Linked DNA regions of Struthio camelus. The protein of the gene in region 1 purifies or fractionates together with the protein of each later gene. This does not show direct contact. Links are inferred from orthologs where the notes say so. Each region holds a gene or a part of one and is shown on either strand. Other genes may lie near its edges.

Region 1 (6,997 bases):
CTTTTGATTTGTCGTGATTAAAAATGTGCACTGTAAGCGAAATTGCCTTCCTTTTGATATTTGGTTCAGTTTGTAACCTTATCATCACATAAAGAAAGTTACTGTTTTTATGCCAGAAAAAATAGAGAACATATAAAATGCACTGGGTATAGTTTTCTGCGGTCAGGGCCAAGTTAGGACCTTAGTAGCTGGACTGCATTGGAAGGAAAGAAGTGCAGGAGCTTTATCCCTTCCATTTACCTCTCATGTAAAAGGAACTTAACTAATCATGAAGTTACCTGTCTCTGAGCAGAGATGAACCCATCAGCCCCTCTTGAATGGACGTATTGATTGATAACTGCAGCAAAGCTTTGATCTCCTTTTGACTGGCAGGTTTGCCCGAAGCATTTTACTGGACATGCCTGTTAAGCAGGTACACCAAGACCTGGTGATCATCATGCAGTCCTCATGCTGCGTACAAGGCCATTATACTTTGCAAACTCCTATCTCTTCCTCTTCCCAGCATGCTTCTGCTGAGGCATGACTGAGTGCCCAGTGCGTGCATTTTTACACATTTACCTGCAGCACTTATGGTGGGACTGTAGACCTTTGTGTGTGTTTTGGAAATTTACTCCAACCTTAAAAATCTTAGATTTCCAGGTTAGCCTTTTTAGCAATTACAGGAAGCACCAGCATGTACTATTGAAACCTATCTGCTCCAAAGTTAGCTTTATACTTTCAAAACAAGGTGGCTGTGGAAGTGCAAGTAACTACTGAGTAGATGCAGTTACTGTATACAGGAAGCTAGGATCAAGTTCAAATAAAAGCTCTGGGCACCAGTTCTTAGCAACTGATTTTAAAGTAGTTTGTAATCTTCAAAGCTATCTATTTATCTCTACAGCAGAGGCCCTGGGTATTATATACCTAATGAGTTAGACCATTTGAGCAACCTTCTTTCAGGTTAAAAAGGTATTTTAACTTTTTCCTTTACCAGATTAGTTGTTCAGTCCATTTCTGACAGATGAGATCAGCTGTAAGGAATGTTAATACTGTGTTTCTTTTCAAAAATGCATTACTATTTATTTCCTTGTGCCTGAGTGAAAGTTTTAAGACTGTATAAGTACGAGAATAGCCTGTATAATATTACTGTTACTGTTTTGGGGTGTTTTTCAGGAACTGCTGGTCACATGCACACTGTTGTTTGTGGACATAAAGCCCAAATAAATAAGTAAAAGTAGAAATAAAGACACAGTCTTGGTCCTGAAGAGTTTACAGCCAACATCTTGATCTGATAAAAGGGTTATGCACTTAACCGTATGTGATATGTGTGGCTCTATTGAACTCAGTGGTATTCATAGTATCACAGAGATTAAGTATGTGTATAAGTCTTTGCAAAGTTGGGAGGGAAATTATACTGTGTTTTTTTAGAATATACTTTGCCTTAATGAACTGCAGTTTCTTTTTTTAATCCAAAATCATATACAATATTTTAATTATTTATAAGTACCTAAATTTCATTAGAAAATGAACAAACTATAAGATGACAGGCACCAGTAAGCTGTTGTTTCTAAAACCAGGAAGGTAAGATGAAGATTCAAGTTTCAAAATGACTTTGATATTCTTACAGTTTAAATGTACAAAAGCAACATTCTAAAATCAAAAAAACAAACATTCTTATCCAATGGGCACTTAAACAAATGGCAATATTTCAAGTCAGTGTAAATGTTAACTTCATTGAACACTGGAACACGGTATACAGCCGAGTATGCACAAAAACACAATTTAATTCTGCCACTTACATTTTCAGGACCATATTACTTTGGGCCAAGCTGTGAAGCTCTTATTACTGTTGGCAAGAAGTTACCTGTGCAAATGTCCGTGAAGTAAGGTGTTTGTGAAGTGAGGCATTAGTACTCTAAGAATGGCAGAATCAAAGCATCTGAAAATTATCCTAACACATAGCAATGGTAAACTTACATGTCAGAATTGTCTTCAGTGAGTTTCAGATTAGGCATGTCTGTGATCAGTGTGAGACACTCCTGGAATTTTAAGTGTGCTTGCTTTGCTTTTGGTAATGCAAAGTAGAAATAAGTAATTTCAGGACATATACCTGAAAGTATCTAATTTAAATGTAAATTCCATGCTTTATTAAATACGTACTTTGCTAAAGCATCTCCATACTGTATTTCTTAATCTTAAAAGAGCAAAGGTGTTTGGCTCTAGTTTTACTCAAATACTATTGGCATTCTTGGAATGAAAAGTCTAGTCTCCTTAGTTGTCCATTTTGTTAATATCTATCTTTAATATGTTTTCACTATAAATCCAGCACCGAGGACAGTGACTTGAAGTGTATATTCTTTTAATTAGAAATACATATCCATACTGCCATAAAAACACAATTTAGATTAGAACAATATTAACAAAGTATGAATAAATACTAATCACAATGTAACTGTGAAGGATTCACTAATCTACAGCTCAGACTGAACTGAAGAGAACTGAACTGAAAGCAGGGTACTAAATAATATTGGAAGAAAGCCTGTTACTATGGAGCAAGTAGGAAAAATAAGCGTAGTTCATTAAGTTCCAGTTTGCTGTGGAAAGGCAAAATTTTGAAGGTCTGTTCTGTGGAGTCTGTGTGAGGAAATGTGCTTCTGGTCAGTTTGAGCTAAGTTAAAAAGTACATAGCATCTGCTGAATCCCGGGGCGCTGTGGCATACATGTAACACCACCAGCGGCTGTGTGGTCAAAAGTTTCCCCCTCTGAGCCACGCGATTTCCTTTCAAGTAGCTTGTCTACCTGTGGACAGAACACGGTAATGAATCTGTCTCAGTAATAATAGTAGCAAAGGTTATTTCACAAAGCTTTCTTCAGAATCAGTTAATGTGAATTGTAATTCACAGTGTGAGATATCTTTTGGGTACCAACATGACATTGTCCCAGTGTCAAGTGGTGTCAGACCTCATGGACCCTGAAGATCAGCTTCCGCCCAGAGAAGAAATCTTTGTTGCACATCCTAGGTGTGTAACAAGGATACTTTATTTATACAGTTTGTGAATGAATAGTCAAAATACATACAGATATGACTACTTCCTCCAGAAATCTCACACCAGTACCAGTCCCAGATCCCAGTGCAAATCTGCTGTTGTGTATTAATCAACTAATTAACCTGTCTTTCCATGCACAAGCTATAAACTTGGAAAACTATGTATGTCTAACAGCTCCACCTGGTGACACCTACCGTGACACCCCAGCTAGGTGGTCTAGGCTGCAACGCTTTGTTGGAATGACTTTTTTTTTTTTCAAACGTGCCATAGCTACTTTAGCCAAATCTCCTTGAAAATGCAGTTGATAAGAAGTATTTCACTTGCTAAACTGGAGTACTGTACGCGCAGAGAACGAAGCGTGTGCTGGTGGGGGTGTGTGCGTGTACTTGGGGGGTTCGGGCAGTGTCCCTGTACTGCCAAAGCTTTCAGGCGTAGACAGGTCTTTAAAGGGAGGTAATTTTGTAACAGCCAGGTGTTTTCCTTTCATTCAAAACCCTGGAAACCCCAGGTAGCTGCTGGGTTAAAAAAAAAAAAAAACCCTGGGAGACCGAATTATGTTCTTAAAGTTATATGTGGTTGCGGCCGAAGGAGCCGGAGAGCAGGGATTCAAAGGCAGGGCCCTGCCAGGCAGCGCAGCTGCCCATCCGCTGCAAGTGCCAAGACAAATGAAATCAGGTTGAACTGCCCCCTTCCCCCCGCTCCGGTGGCGAAACGCAGCTCGTGTTTCGCTCTGCAAACGCTGCCATTCGCTAGGAGGAGGCAGCAGCCAGGCTGCCGCCTCGCCGCTAAGCCCCGGCCCGGCCCGGCCCGGCCCGCCGCCTGCCCACGCGCCGCAGCCGGAAGCGCCGGCGCTCTGCGGCGGGGCGGAACGCGCGCGCCGGTGCCGCGTTGCGCGGGGAAGGCGGCGCGGGGGCACCGGCCGCCGGCTGGCGCGGCGGGGGGGGGCGGGGCGCGGCGCGGCGCCATGGCCGTCGACATCACGCTGCTCTTCAAGGCCAGCGTGAAGACGGTGAAGACCCGCAACAAGGCGCTGGGGGTGGCGGCGGCCGGCGACAGCGCCAGGGATGAGCTGCTCAAGCGCGGCGCGGCCCGCTCCAAGAGCGACTTCTCCAGCCGGGCCCGTGAGGTGGTGAGTGCGGCGGCGCCCTGCGCCTCCCCTCCCCCCCCCCCCGGGGAGGAGGGGGCCCAGGCGTCCGGGGCGGGGGGCATCGGCGGCCCCGCGCGGGCCGCGGCTGGGGGGCGCCTGCCCTGGCCGCGGAGAGGCGGAGGAGCTTGTCGAGGGCGGCGGCGGCGGCTTCCCGCGGGGCGCGCCCGCCTCTCCTGCGCCGTGGGCCGCCGCCGCCGCCGCCTCGGGAGGGGCTGCAGTGTATGTGTGTATATGTGTATGTACATATATGCGTGCTCTCTTCAGGTTTTTCTTCTTGTTGCGCAGTGTGGCTGTGCAGTGCCATTTCTAGATGAGCCATGTGTAAAAAAAAGAGAGAGGGAAAAAAAACCTAATCAGAACATTTTAAGAGTTGAAAAGCTAAGCACTGAGGAATTGAGGGCTTACGGAGCTAAACTGACCAGGAACGATAACATCCGTAATCAGCAGTAGTGCTGTAAAAGCAAATTTCTTGTAGATTGTTTTCCTCCGTACAGAGCAAATGGTAGGGAAAAAGTTTTGATGTCTCAGTGGGATTTGAGTAATGCACCTGGGTTAAGGCACTGGACCAAACTTTGCAATTCAAACTAACAGGAAAAGGCTGTTCAGGGCACTGTCTGAGAAAACTCTTACAGAAAATGACATATAATGGTGTAAAAACCACGTCATGATGCACGTGCAAGTGTAGGACTACACCACGAGTACACAGGCAGTCTTGTTTCTGACGTTTACTGAGTTCTGAATGGTTTAGTTTTCAAGGACAGAGATTAGTGTTAAATTTAGGTCTTACTTAATTATTGTTTTCCAATTTCAGAGATAGTGTTTTATAACTAATGTGTTTTATAACACTTAAAGTTTTATTTTAAGTCGTTCAGTGATTGCTTTGAGGCTTAAGAAGGGTGACAACTTGGGTATATGTTAAATGAACATATAGTTATTAATCCCCTATTAAAAGTTGATTTAAGTGACTTGCTTAATATTGGCTATGAGATCTGTGGTAGGGATCTATCTGTAGGGATAAGACCAGTCTGTAAAACTACGTTCAAGATCTTTGATCATGAGATGTACTTTTTTTTGGGGGGGCATCTGCTGATTTAGCTAAAATTATTTCAAATTCTGCAGCCTTAGAGTGAACAGACTGCTTTAGACTTGCAGTAGAACAGGGCAACCTTTACACGATTTGTGTGTATGTGAATTCCTAGAATTTTTAAAAAGGATTGAAATTTTATCACATGGCATCATATTGACATTTATCTACATCATCAACATGACTGCAACTTTTAGTCTGCTATTCAGAACTCCAGCGCTTGGGCTAATGCTGGCAGCAGGTTGTTATCCTCTAAGGGTTTAGCACTAGACAGTGTCCAGATGTTCTGCCCAAGTGTTTTGCAGTTATTTGCTGAGGCAGAGCAAGGGAGAAATTTGAGAATTGTCGGCTTCCATCCTAGATATTCGTATAGCCACAGCCTTGTATTCGCTTCCTCCAAAGCTTTAACCCTCTGCTCCGTTGCTTCCAGTACTGTCTGTGTCTGCGCTTTGGTTCCTTATCTGCAGTTGCATTCGCTTCAGCCTCTCTCCATATTTCTAGGTTTCTGATCATAGAAGTAGTCTGTATTTCAAATAATTTATAGCCTCAGATTGGATCCGTGCCCGCTTCTTCTTCCTCACCCCTCTCTTCTCTGTCTTCCCTTCCTGCCACCAATGCTCCCTTGAACTTGCTGCCTCCCAGGTTTCGTCGTCTTTCTCAAGTTCTGTTCGTACTCAGGCCCAGCCTCACCTTCATCCTCTCCTCGCTGCCCAGCCATAGTCCTGTGCTGTGATGACGTGCTGTAGGAGTATACTTTTTCTGCTACCTTATTCCTTTTTTGCCCCTATTCACATTTATTATTGCTTGTCTTCTGTTATCTGAGCTCCTTGTCCTTTCTTAGTTTCCTAGGAGCACTGTCCAGGCAATAGAAAGGGCAAAGATATGGCTAAAAGCATCTGTTTAATTACAGCAGCTTGTTAAGGGTGAAGTAAACAGTTAATGCCACAGTGGATGAACTGAGCAGTCTTTTTGAGGGGAAGAGGAGAATGAGTTTAACTGGTGGTAGTCGCATAAACGATGACTTGGAGAAAAAGGTAAGGCCAAAAATGTGTTGCTGAGCACCTTTGAACGTGATTCCTGTTAACTGCTGCTGAGTGAGTACGAGAGAGTGCAATAGATTGGGCCTGGTCTGTCTCTGCTCCTGTAGTTTAGCTGTATTTGTGACAGTGGAGCCAACAACCTACCAGACCGGAGAAGGATTTATGACAGCTTTTTAGGCCTTCTCTAAGATCTAATTCTAATGGGGAAACGCAGCATATAAACTACAGTGAAAGGGGAGGTTTTGTAGTAAAATTGATCATAATTTTGAGTGCTTCCTTCAGCAAAATACAATTTGACTTGAATATGTATTTTTCGAAAGCTTCTTTCAAATACTTTGTTATAGCCTTGCTTGTTATAGCCTAGCAGCAGTTTAGCTGCTTCTGCCAAGATTAAGCAATTTAACTTGCAAGTGTAATCTCTGATATACACATTAATTCTTTAACAGGTTTCTAGTTTTAAAAGCCCCCAAAAATCCAGCGAATCCTTCTCTGCCTACATACAGTTACTTATTTTTTTTTTTTAAATCTGGAGAACATATCAAACTCTTATTTTAACTACTGTTATCTTTAAAACTCGTCCCAAAAAATGACGTTCAGAACCCACACAGAATAACATGGGAGACCCTGAATAATTTATACGTAGTCGGAGCTCTTGTTATGCTGCATTTGGTTGAGTAATAGTTGAAGATCTCCATTTGAC
Region 2 (7,920 bases), on another chromosome or scaffold:
TACATTAGCTACACACAGAATTCAGTTCAGCTAATCATTATTCCATAGGCTGCCTGAATACTGCAAAATTGATTTCAACACAAGCAAAAAGAAGTCAACCACTTAATTCAGTGCTGTAAATCCAGTCATGCCGTTCTAAGCAACAGCTCATTCACTGTAAAAGCTGGGGTTAATTATTACTCTGAATCTTTTTTCCCCCCCCCCCTAACTCATGTATTAGCATACAGCAAAACACACAGCAATGTCTCAAAATAATTTTAAGGTTGCTAGAAAATCAGAAGTTCCAGTCTATTCATTAACTGCTACTTAAGATTTGCAAACAACCACCTTTATGTTGCCTATAATCCCCCATAAACCTCTGTAAAACAATTTAACCTTTGCTTTCCCTCCTCAATAAGCTCTACTTTGCTATGATGTCCACAAAAAAACATGACAGCAGTTTGGCTATGACAGTGCCTTGACCACTGCCTATCACACTCCTCAGTACTGTCCTTACTTCCTTGTGCTCTCCTGCCTGTAATCCATCTGCTATCTGTGACCTTGTATTCAGTCAACTTTTTAGAGCAAGGACGCTTGCATATGCGTAACACATTCATGATTTTAAGGTTCTTGACACTACAGTAATTCCAGTGTACAGTAAATACCAACTTTGCATCCACTGAACAACTAAATTTGAATTATTCTAAAATCTTTCAGTGAAATACAATTAATATGAGGGGAAAAATAATACCTGAAGATCAGATTCAATTAGAAAGATTCCCAAAGCAATTACAGCATCTCTGCGACGTTCATCTAACTGGAAAATCCCATGGAAATCCACTGGACACATACAGAGCAGTTTTTGTACCTGAAAAACAGCGGCGGGAAAGGCCAGGAGAAGAAGATCAAAACTGTCAAAACACATTCCAAAGTAACAACAGCACATGTCTTAAAACTGCCTTTCAAATATCCACCAGTAGACCTGAAGAGAGCAATGCAAACAGCTCCCAGCTTTTCATTTATGGAAAAGAGAGCTGGCCATCACATTCATGCCCTAGAGTACAGCAAGCAATAGGCCTGGGTAGTACTAATGCAATTGCAAATATTCTCACAGCAGAGAAACAAGCTGACAGGCTGCAATTTTCAGAAAGATTCGTTTAGACTTCCTACAGCTGAAGCGGACAGTAGCATTTCCCTTTTCTGCAAGGGAATCAGATGGCCATATTACCCCTCCTGTAGTCATCAATCTTTTAATGAACTCATCTAAGGGCTAGCTAGGAAAGAGTGAAGAATGACAGATACTAGAAAAAGATAGAAAATTCTACAAATAACTGTCAAACATTTACCACAACAAGGGTAAATTTAAAAGTTTTCTCCAACTAATTCATTTGGGATGTGCAAGAAATACGCAACAGGCACACACACATAGTATCTACTCAATCCCTGTAAACAAGAACTAGGTGGATAGAGCTGTTGTTACAGTTACACCAATGCTTTCTTCATACACAGCACTCCAAAATAAACTCTGCTGCTTAAATAAGTGTGACTTTTGCTCAAATTCTTTCAATGTAACAGACTTAAGTATTTTCCCCACTGCTTACCTATTACTTCATTCCATACCCAGCTAACACACAACTAAAGAATATACCAAAACTCTCAGATATTTAGTTTGCCTACAGAACAGTGAAAAGGGGAAAAATGCAGGCATACATACGGACTTTCCGTAAGTCTCCTTGATGCTAATAAACACTACCAAGAAGAGACTGTCATAATGAATACTTATGTTTGAATGTCAAGTTCCTTCCTATTTGGATAACTCACTTTAAACATCCTGCCTTGAAATTTCTAAACCAAGAAACTGTCTCCTTAGAGAATTAGAAGAACCTACCGGGGCCCAGTGCAAGCTAAGATTCTGAGCCTTACACTGTCCTACCTTGTAATTACAAAACCTGTAATACAGTTTTAATAATCCTCTTCCTTAACATGAAGTACAGCAAATGAAAGAAAACCTTTGGAAAATAACTTCTAATGCGTGCATTCCACATCAGGTTATTATGCTGAAAAACATGAGTAAATACCTTTAATGAGATATAACTGTTAATATAATTTAACTCCTAGTGTAGACTCTTATAAACTACAGAATCACTGGATCCTGGTGAACCAACAGGGAGATATAAAAGATTTATTTACAATTGGCTGTCAGACTAATGGCAAATTTCCAAAGCAAGAACTAAGAAAGAAAGTCCGAAAAGCTAGCCAAAAATAAGTCACATACTATAGCATCAGCACAGAGCTGTGCTTTTCAACAATTTAGTCATCTTTCATTAGTGTGTGAGGCAATTTAGGAGTTCAACCAATTTATGCAGAGAGAAGCCAACTACTGAAACATTAGGCTGTCTTATTTCTCTTTTTCTGCACAACTTGAATCAACCAGCTGTTTCACGTGAGCAATAAAGACCCACAAAGGAAACTGTTTCCAAGACTAAAATTCACCTATTCAGGTTTGCATTGAATCGATCTTCATCTTAATCGGACAGTTTTCACCTTTAGGTGATTGCACCACTTTGATTTAACCAAGCAGACCCAGCTATGCTAATCAAGCTGGTTATGTCTCAAGACTATGTTCCACGAACTCCCGGGATCCACAGTCACCCCGCAGCTCTCGAGGACCCTTTTCTCCACATAGACAGCTACAGAGCGGTTCTGAAGCACGCACGACCGTGGCGCCCTCCTTACACAGCAGCACCTCAAGCCACGCAGTTATTTACGTCTCAGTAAAAAGGAGCCACCAGAAGGCCACACGCCACCTCGGCGCAGGCGCAGCGCTCGCAGGCAGCGGCCCCCCGCGCGCACGCTGGCCCGCACAGCTAACCGCAGCCCCCACGGCCGTGGCTCCCACCTGCAGCGGGACACGCTCATCCTCGCCTCAGCCCACGCGCATGACACGGCCGCAGGCAGTAGCCTGGACCACGCATGCGCAACAGGCTCCGCAGCCCCGCGCCACCCACGGCCGGGACGCGCGCCCCCCGCGTGCCGGCCTCGAGGCCTCCCGCACAGCACAGCGTGCACACGCAGCTGTGACTCGTGTGGCCATCCCGACACGCAGCCGGCACGCGCGACAGCCTCCCCTCCCGCACACACGCAGCCCTGACACACGTGACGGCAGCCCCTTCCCCTAAGCAGCCCCGACACGCGTGACAGCCACCCCAACACACATGAACAGCCTCCCCTCATGCACACACACAACCCCGACATGCATGACAGCAGCCCCTCCCACACACACAGCCCCGACACGCGTGACAGCCACCCCAACACACGTGAACAGCCTCCCCTCCACGCACACGCAGCCCCGACACGCGTGACAGCCGCTCCTTCTCTCCCACAGCCCCAACACATGTGAGCAGCCTCCCTCCCACACACACAGCCCTGACACACGTGACAGCTGCCTCAACACACGTGAGCAGCCTCCCCTCCATGCACACACAGCCCCGACACGCGTGACGGCCACCCCTTCCCTCACACAGCCCCGACACACGTGAACAGCCTCCCTCCCGCACACACGCAGCCCTGACACGCATGACAGTGGTCCCTTCCCCCAAGCAGCCCCGACACACGTGACGGCCACCCCTCCCACACACACGCAGCCCCGACATGCGTGACAGCCACCCCAACACACGTGAACAGCCTCCCCTTCCACACACACAGCCCCGACATGCGTGACAGCCACCCCAACACACGTGAACAGCCTCCCCTTCCACACACACAGCCCCGACATGCGTGACAGCCACCCCAACACACGTGAACAGCCTCCCCTTCCACACACACAGCCCCGACATGCGTGACAGCCACCCCAACACACGTGAACAGCCTCCCCTTCCCCCACACAGCCCCGACACACGTGAACAGCCTCCCTCCCACGCACACGCAGCCCCAACACGCATAACGGCTGCCCCTTCCCCCACGCAGCTCCGACATGCGTGAACAACTTCCCCTCCCACCACGTACACGCAGCCCCAGTACGTGTGACAGCCTCCCCTCCCACGCACAGGCAGCAGCAGCACGCGTGACAGCCCCCGACACGCAGCCACGACACGCGTGAACGGCCTCCCCTCCCCCCACGCAGCCGCCTCCCCTCACACACGCATACAGCCCTGGCACACATACCAGCTACCCCCACGCAGCCTCGACATGCACGACATCCTCTCCCCCCCCACGCAGCCCCAGCACGCGCGACAGCCTCCCCTCCCACACATACAGCCCTAGCACGCATAGCAGGTCCCCCACACGCAGTCCCGACGCGCGTGGGGCCTCCTCTCCCTCACACACGCAGCCCCAACACGCGTGGCCGCCCCTCCCCACGGACGCGCCCCGCGGGACCCCGCTCCGCCCTCACCTTCTCCAGAGGCGCCGGGCTCTGCACTGCCAGCGACCGCGCCAGCGACAGCACCGTGTTGAAGTAGAAGCCGCGCGCGGTGCCCGCGCTGCCCCCCCGGCCCGCGCCCGCGCCCGCGCCCGCGGCAGGAGCAGCCGCCGCCGCGGCCGCCGTTGCCGTCGCCGCCGCCGCGGCCGTCGCTGCAGCCGCGGCCGCCGCCGCCACTGCCGCCGCCGCCATGTTGTGGGGGAGGGGGAGCCCGCGCCTCGCCCCCAAGACGGGCCGCCGGCGCGCCTCTCGCGAGACCGCCGCCCTCCCCGCGGGACCGCAAGGCGGCCAATCGCGCCATAAAGATGGCGGCGCCCGCCGCGGCTTCACTGATGGAGGGTTATCATCGTCCCCCCCGCCTCTTCCCCCCCCCCCCCGTTGCCGTGATGGTTCCTGCCCGCCACCGCCCGCCCCCAGAGGAGCGGCCGCGCGCTCGCCCCGCCCCGGGGGGGGGTCGCCGTGGTTCCGCCCGGCGCGGCGGCGGCCTGCGGGCGGAAGGAGCCGGGGGTGAGCGGCGGCGGCGGGCGCCGTTGTGGAGCGGGGTGCGGGCGGCGGCGCGCGCTCACTGCGGCCTCTTCCTCACAGGGCGAGGCGGGCGGCGGCACCATGGCGGCGCCGCCGAGGAGCTACAACCCCTTCGCGGCCGACGAGGAGGAGGCGGCCGAGGTGGCGGCGGCGGGCGGCGCCGAGCGGCAGCGCTACCTGCAGCGGGAGGTGCTGCGGCGCTCGGCCGCCACGGCCGACAGCACGGCCCGCTCCCTGGCCCTGCTCTACGAGTCGGAGCGCGTCGGCGTGGCCGCCTCCGAGGTGGGTCTGCGGGGCGGCGGCCGGGCCGGAGCCCCCCCAGCCGCTCAGCGTTCCGGAGGCAGCGTGTCCCTGGAGGACAGGCCTGCTTTATCTGTAGAGCCTCGAGACTGCAGCTCCGCTGTGTTTTCCACAGCTTTTAAGCATTCTTACAAGTGCGTGTTAATGGTTACTGATTTTTATCTGGGTGAAAAGTTCTCCTGAAAGCCTCAGCTGTTCCCTTGCGTACATGACAAGTCTGCTGGAGTAGTTGTTTATGATGGGCCCGGTTTTATCCCTGTTAATCATTTCCTTCGTTCTTTTGGAGTTGTTTCAGAACAGGGTTTACCTTAAGAGACCTCATTAGTAAAGGCTATGTGGATTATGTCACCCGTTAATGGGGTGTTTACTTGAACGTTAGTAGCATGATGACCTGTGTCATACTGAGACCATCCACAGGCTGTCATAGGTAGTTAGGCTGAAGAGGGCTATTTGTGTCACTTGTGTGAGCTTGCCAAGGTGTGATTTCTTTTTTTTAAGAGAAGCCCAAAAAGCAGTCGAGGACGTAGACTTGATGTAGGGTTAATGGTAGAATTTGAATTGTCTGAGCTGGATTGCTTGAGTGAGGAGGTAAGTATATTCAACTAGAATTCACGAAACTTTGGAGAGAATATGAGTCTACGGTCTTTATTTCTCATTAGTGTTAGCCACAGGCAACTTTACTGCTAGAATTAATCTTTGGACTGCTTTGGAATACTGTTTGTGCCCCTGAATTAGTAAATGACATAGCTGCATGTATCAGGATTTCTAAATCCTGCATTTTGGGTATTAGCACCAAAAAAAAAAGAATAATCATGCAGTATGGAAAAATTCTAGTTATTTCCGGTAGTAATTCTTTTTCCAAATTATCTAGAACACCACAGTAATGTGAAAATAGTGGATGAGACTTTCATTGATAGGGGATACAACTAGAAGCAATTCTGTTTGGTCATTGCCATTCCATAAGCCACATGCGATAAAACATAGTTTTCGCTACATCACCCATCTGGTACAACGCTTGTTCCAGCAAGAACAGATAGAAATTTCAACCTGACAGAGGGCCAATACAAAAACTTCCTAGATCCTGTTTGTAGTAGGTGGCAGGAAACTGGGCTTTGCTTAGTTATGAGAATTTTATAGCTGGTATAGCATATCATTGTGGTTGACTAGCAACTCTTGATTGAAATGCCCTGGAGGAAAAGGAGTAAGTGGAAAGGCTAGATGCCTTTAAAAATAACGTGGATAGATGGAGGAACTCTGTTAAACATTCTTCTTCAGAGTACCTGTTAAAAATGTTTGATATTGCAGTTTATCCTTACTAACTTCCCTTTTTCTGTAAATATTTTTAGGAGCTTGTACGTCAGGGAGAGGTACTGAAGCGCACAGAACAAATGGTAGACAAAATGGACCAGGACTTGAAGACTAGTCAAAGACACATAAATAGCATTAAGAGTGTTTTTGGAGGCTTGGTAAGCTACTTCAAACCCAAACCTCCAGACAGCAAGCCAGAGCAGAACGGAGCCCCTGAGTATAATGCTCACAGTAGGTAAGTGAAATAAATGTTTTATTTGGGTATGATAGTACTTTCTTGGGGCCAAGCAGGAGACCTGCCTGGAATTAAACATTTTTTGTGAGGTTCTGAATCTAGCGTAGTTCTTTTGAAGTACTTCGTAAAGCGAGACATAGACCAGTCACCTACTCCTCCCTTATTCTGTTATCAGGGCCCCTCACTTTTTACTCTGTGCATACACGCACTGTGTTCTTCCATACTTCTCCAAGTACCAGGCTCCTGGGGTTTTTTTTCCTGCTTTTTGTTTTTTTTCTCCTCAAAGTCTTCTCAAAATTTCCCTAGTTTCACTCGTATATCTTCCACCTAAACTCCTCACCTAATCCATTTACCCTTTTGACCTTTTTTGGATCTCCAGTGGCATGTCTGAAAAGTCAGCGGAAAATTGGAACTTAAAATATAAAGGGAAATCTGTTGATCCTTTTTCCTTTGACTCTGCTAGAAGTATTTTTACTTTTCTTTATGTTAGTAGTGATAGGAATAACATCATATTTGTAGGAAATGCCATCACAGGTAATTCCTTGGAGCCCTCTGAATTATTGCGCCTACTCCAGTCTTATCAGGAAATCGAGATTTGCAGCATCGACATGCTTCCTGTTAAATGTTATGTATATTTCTCTACCTTTTATTAAAAGCTGTAAATAAAAATAAATATTGTGAAGGTGAATATCTTACAGTACTTATCTCTCTTCAGCCATCCCCTCCCCTCCCCACCCCCCAGAGGAAAGGAATAATTTGTCCCCAAGAATGAGGAAGCAATTTTGTCTTGATATCAAAGCTTTGATATCTTCAGCACCATAGGGGCCTATTGTGCTTTCACTGAAGACAAATGACACTTAAGACATGTTGAACTGGGCCTAACAAACTCACTCTTCTTGGACAAAATACCTGTTCTTGTTTAACAGATTCAGACTCAAGCCTGTGGTACATAAGAATGTTTTGTTTTTCTCTGCGTTACCAGATTAAAAGAAGCAATGATGTCTAGCAAAGAGCAAGAGTCAAAATACCAGGAAAGTCATCCAAATTTAAGGAGGCTAGATAATTCAGGTTTGTTAATTTTATTTTATGTTGAATGTCTGTCCTCCTCCCAGTAGAGGAGACTTGCACAGTGGTAAAGGCACAGACCCTTCAG

What was found.
Region 2: the proteins of STX18 (region 1) and SNAP29 purify together in Homo sapiens (affinity purification with mass spectrometry; 3 studies listed by BioGRID and IntAct, counting the BioPlex papers as one, with this or other methods). This does not show direct contact. The link is inferred for Struthio camelus from reciprocal best matches to the Homo sapiens genes STX18 and SNAP29.

Annotation. Positions count from the first base shown.
Region 1 is NC_090945.1:72,822,498-72,829,494, reverse strand, and holds the start of STX18 (syntaxin-18), read left to right. Parts: upstream 1-3,941; 5' UTR 3,942-3,990; coding exon 3,991-4,155; intron 4,156-6,997. UniProt on the Homo sapiens protein: Syntaxin that may be involved in targeting and fusion of Golgi-derived retrograde transport vesicles with the ER.
Region 2 is NC_090958.1:9,921,959-9,929,878, reverse strand, and holds the start of SNAP29 (synaptosomal-associated protein 29), read left to right. Parts: upstream 1-4,886; 5' UTR 4,887-4,906; intron 4,907-4,908; exon of another isoform or gene 4,909-4,984; 5' UTR 4,985-5,005; coding exon 5,006-5,206; intron 5,207-6,570; coding exon 6,571-6,767; intron 6,768-7,749; coding exon 7,750-7,835; intron 7,836-7,920. UniProt on the Homo sapiens protein: SNAREs, soluble N-ethylmaleimide-sensitive factor-attachment protein receptors, are essential proteins for fusion of cellular membranes.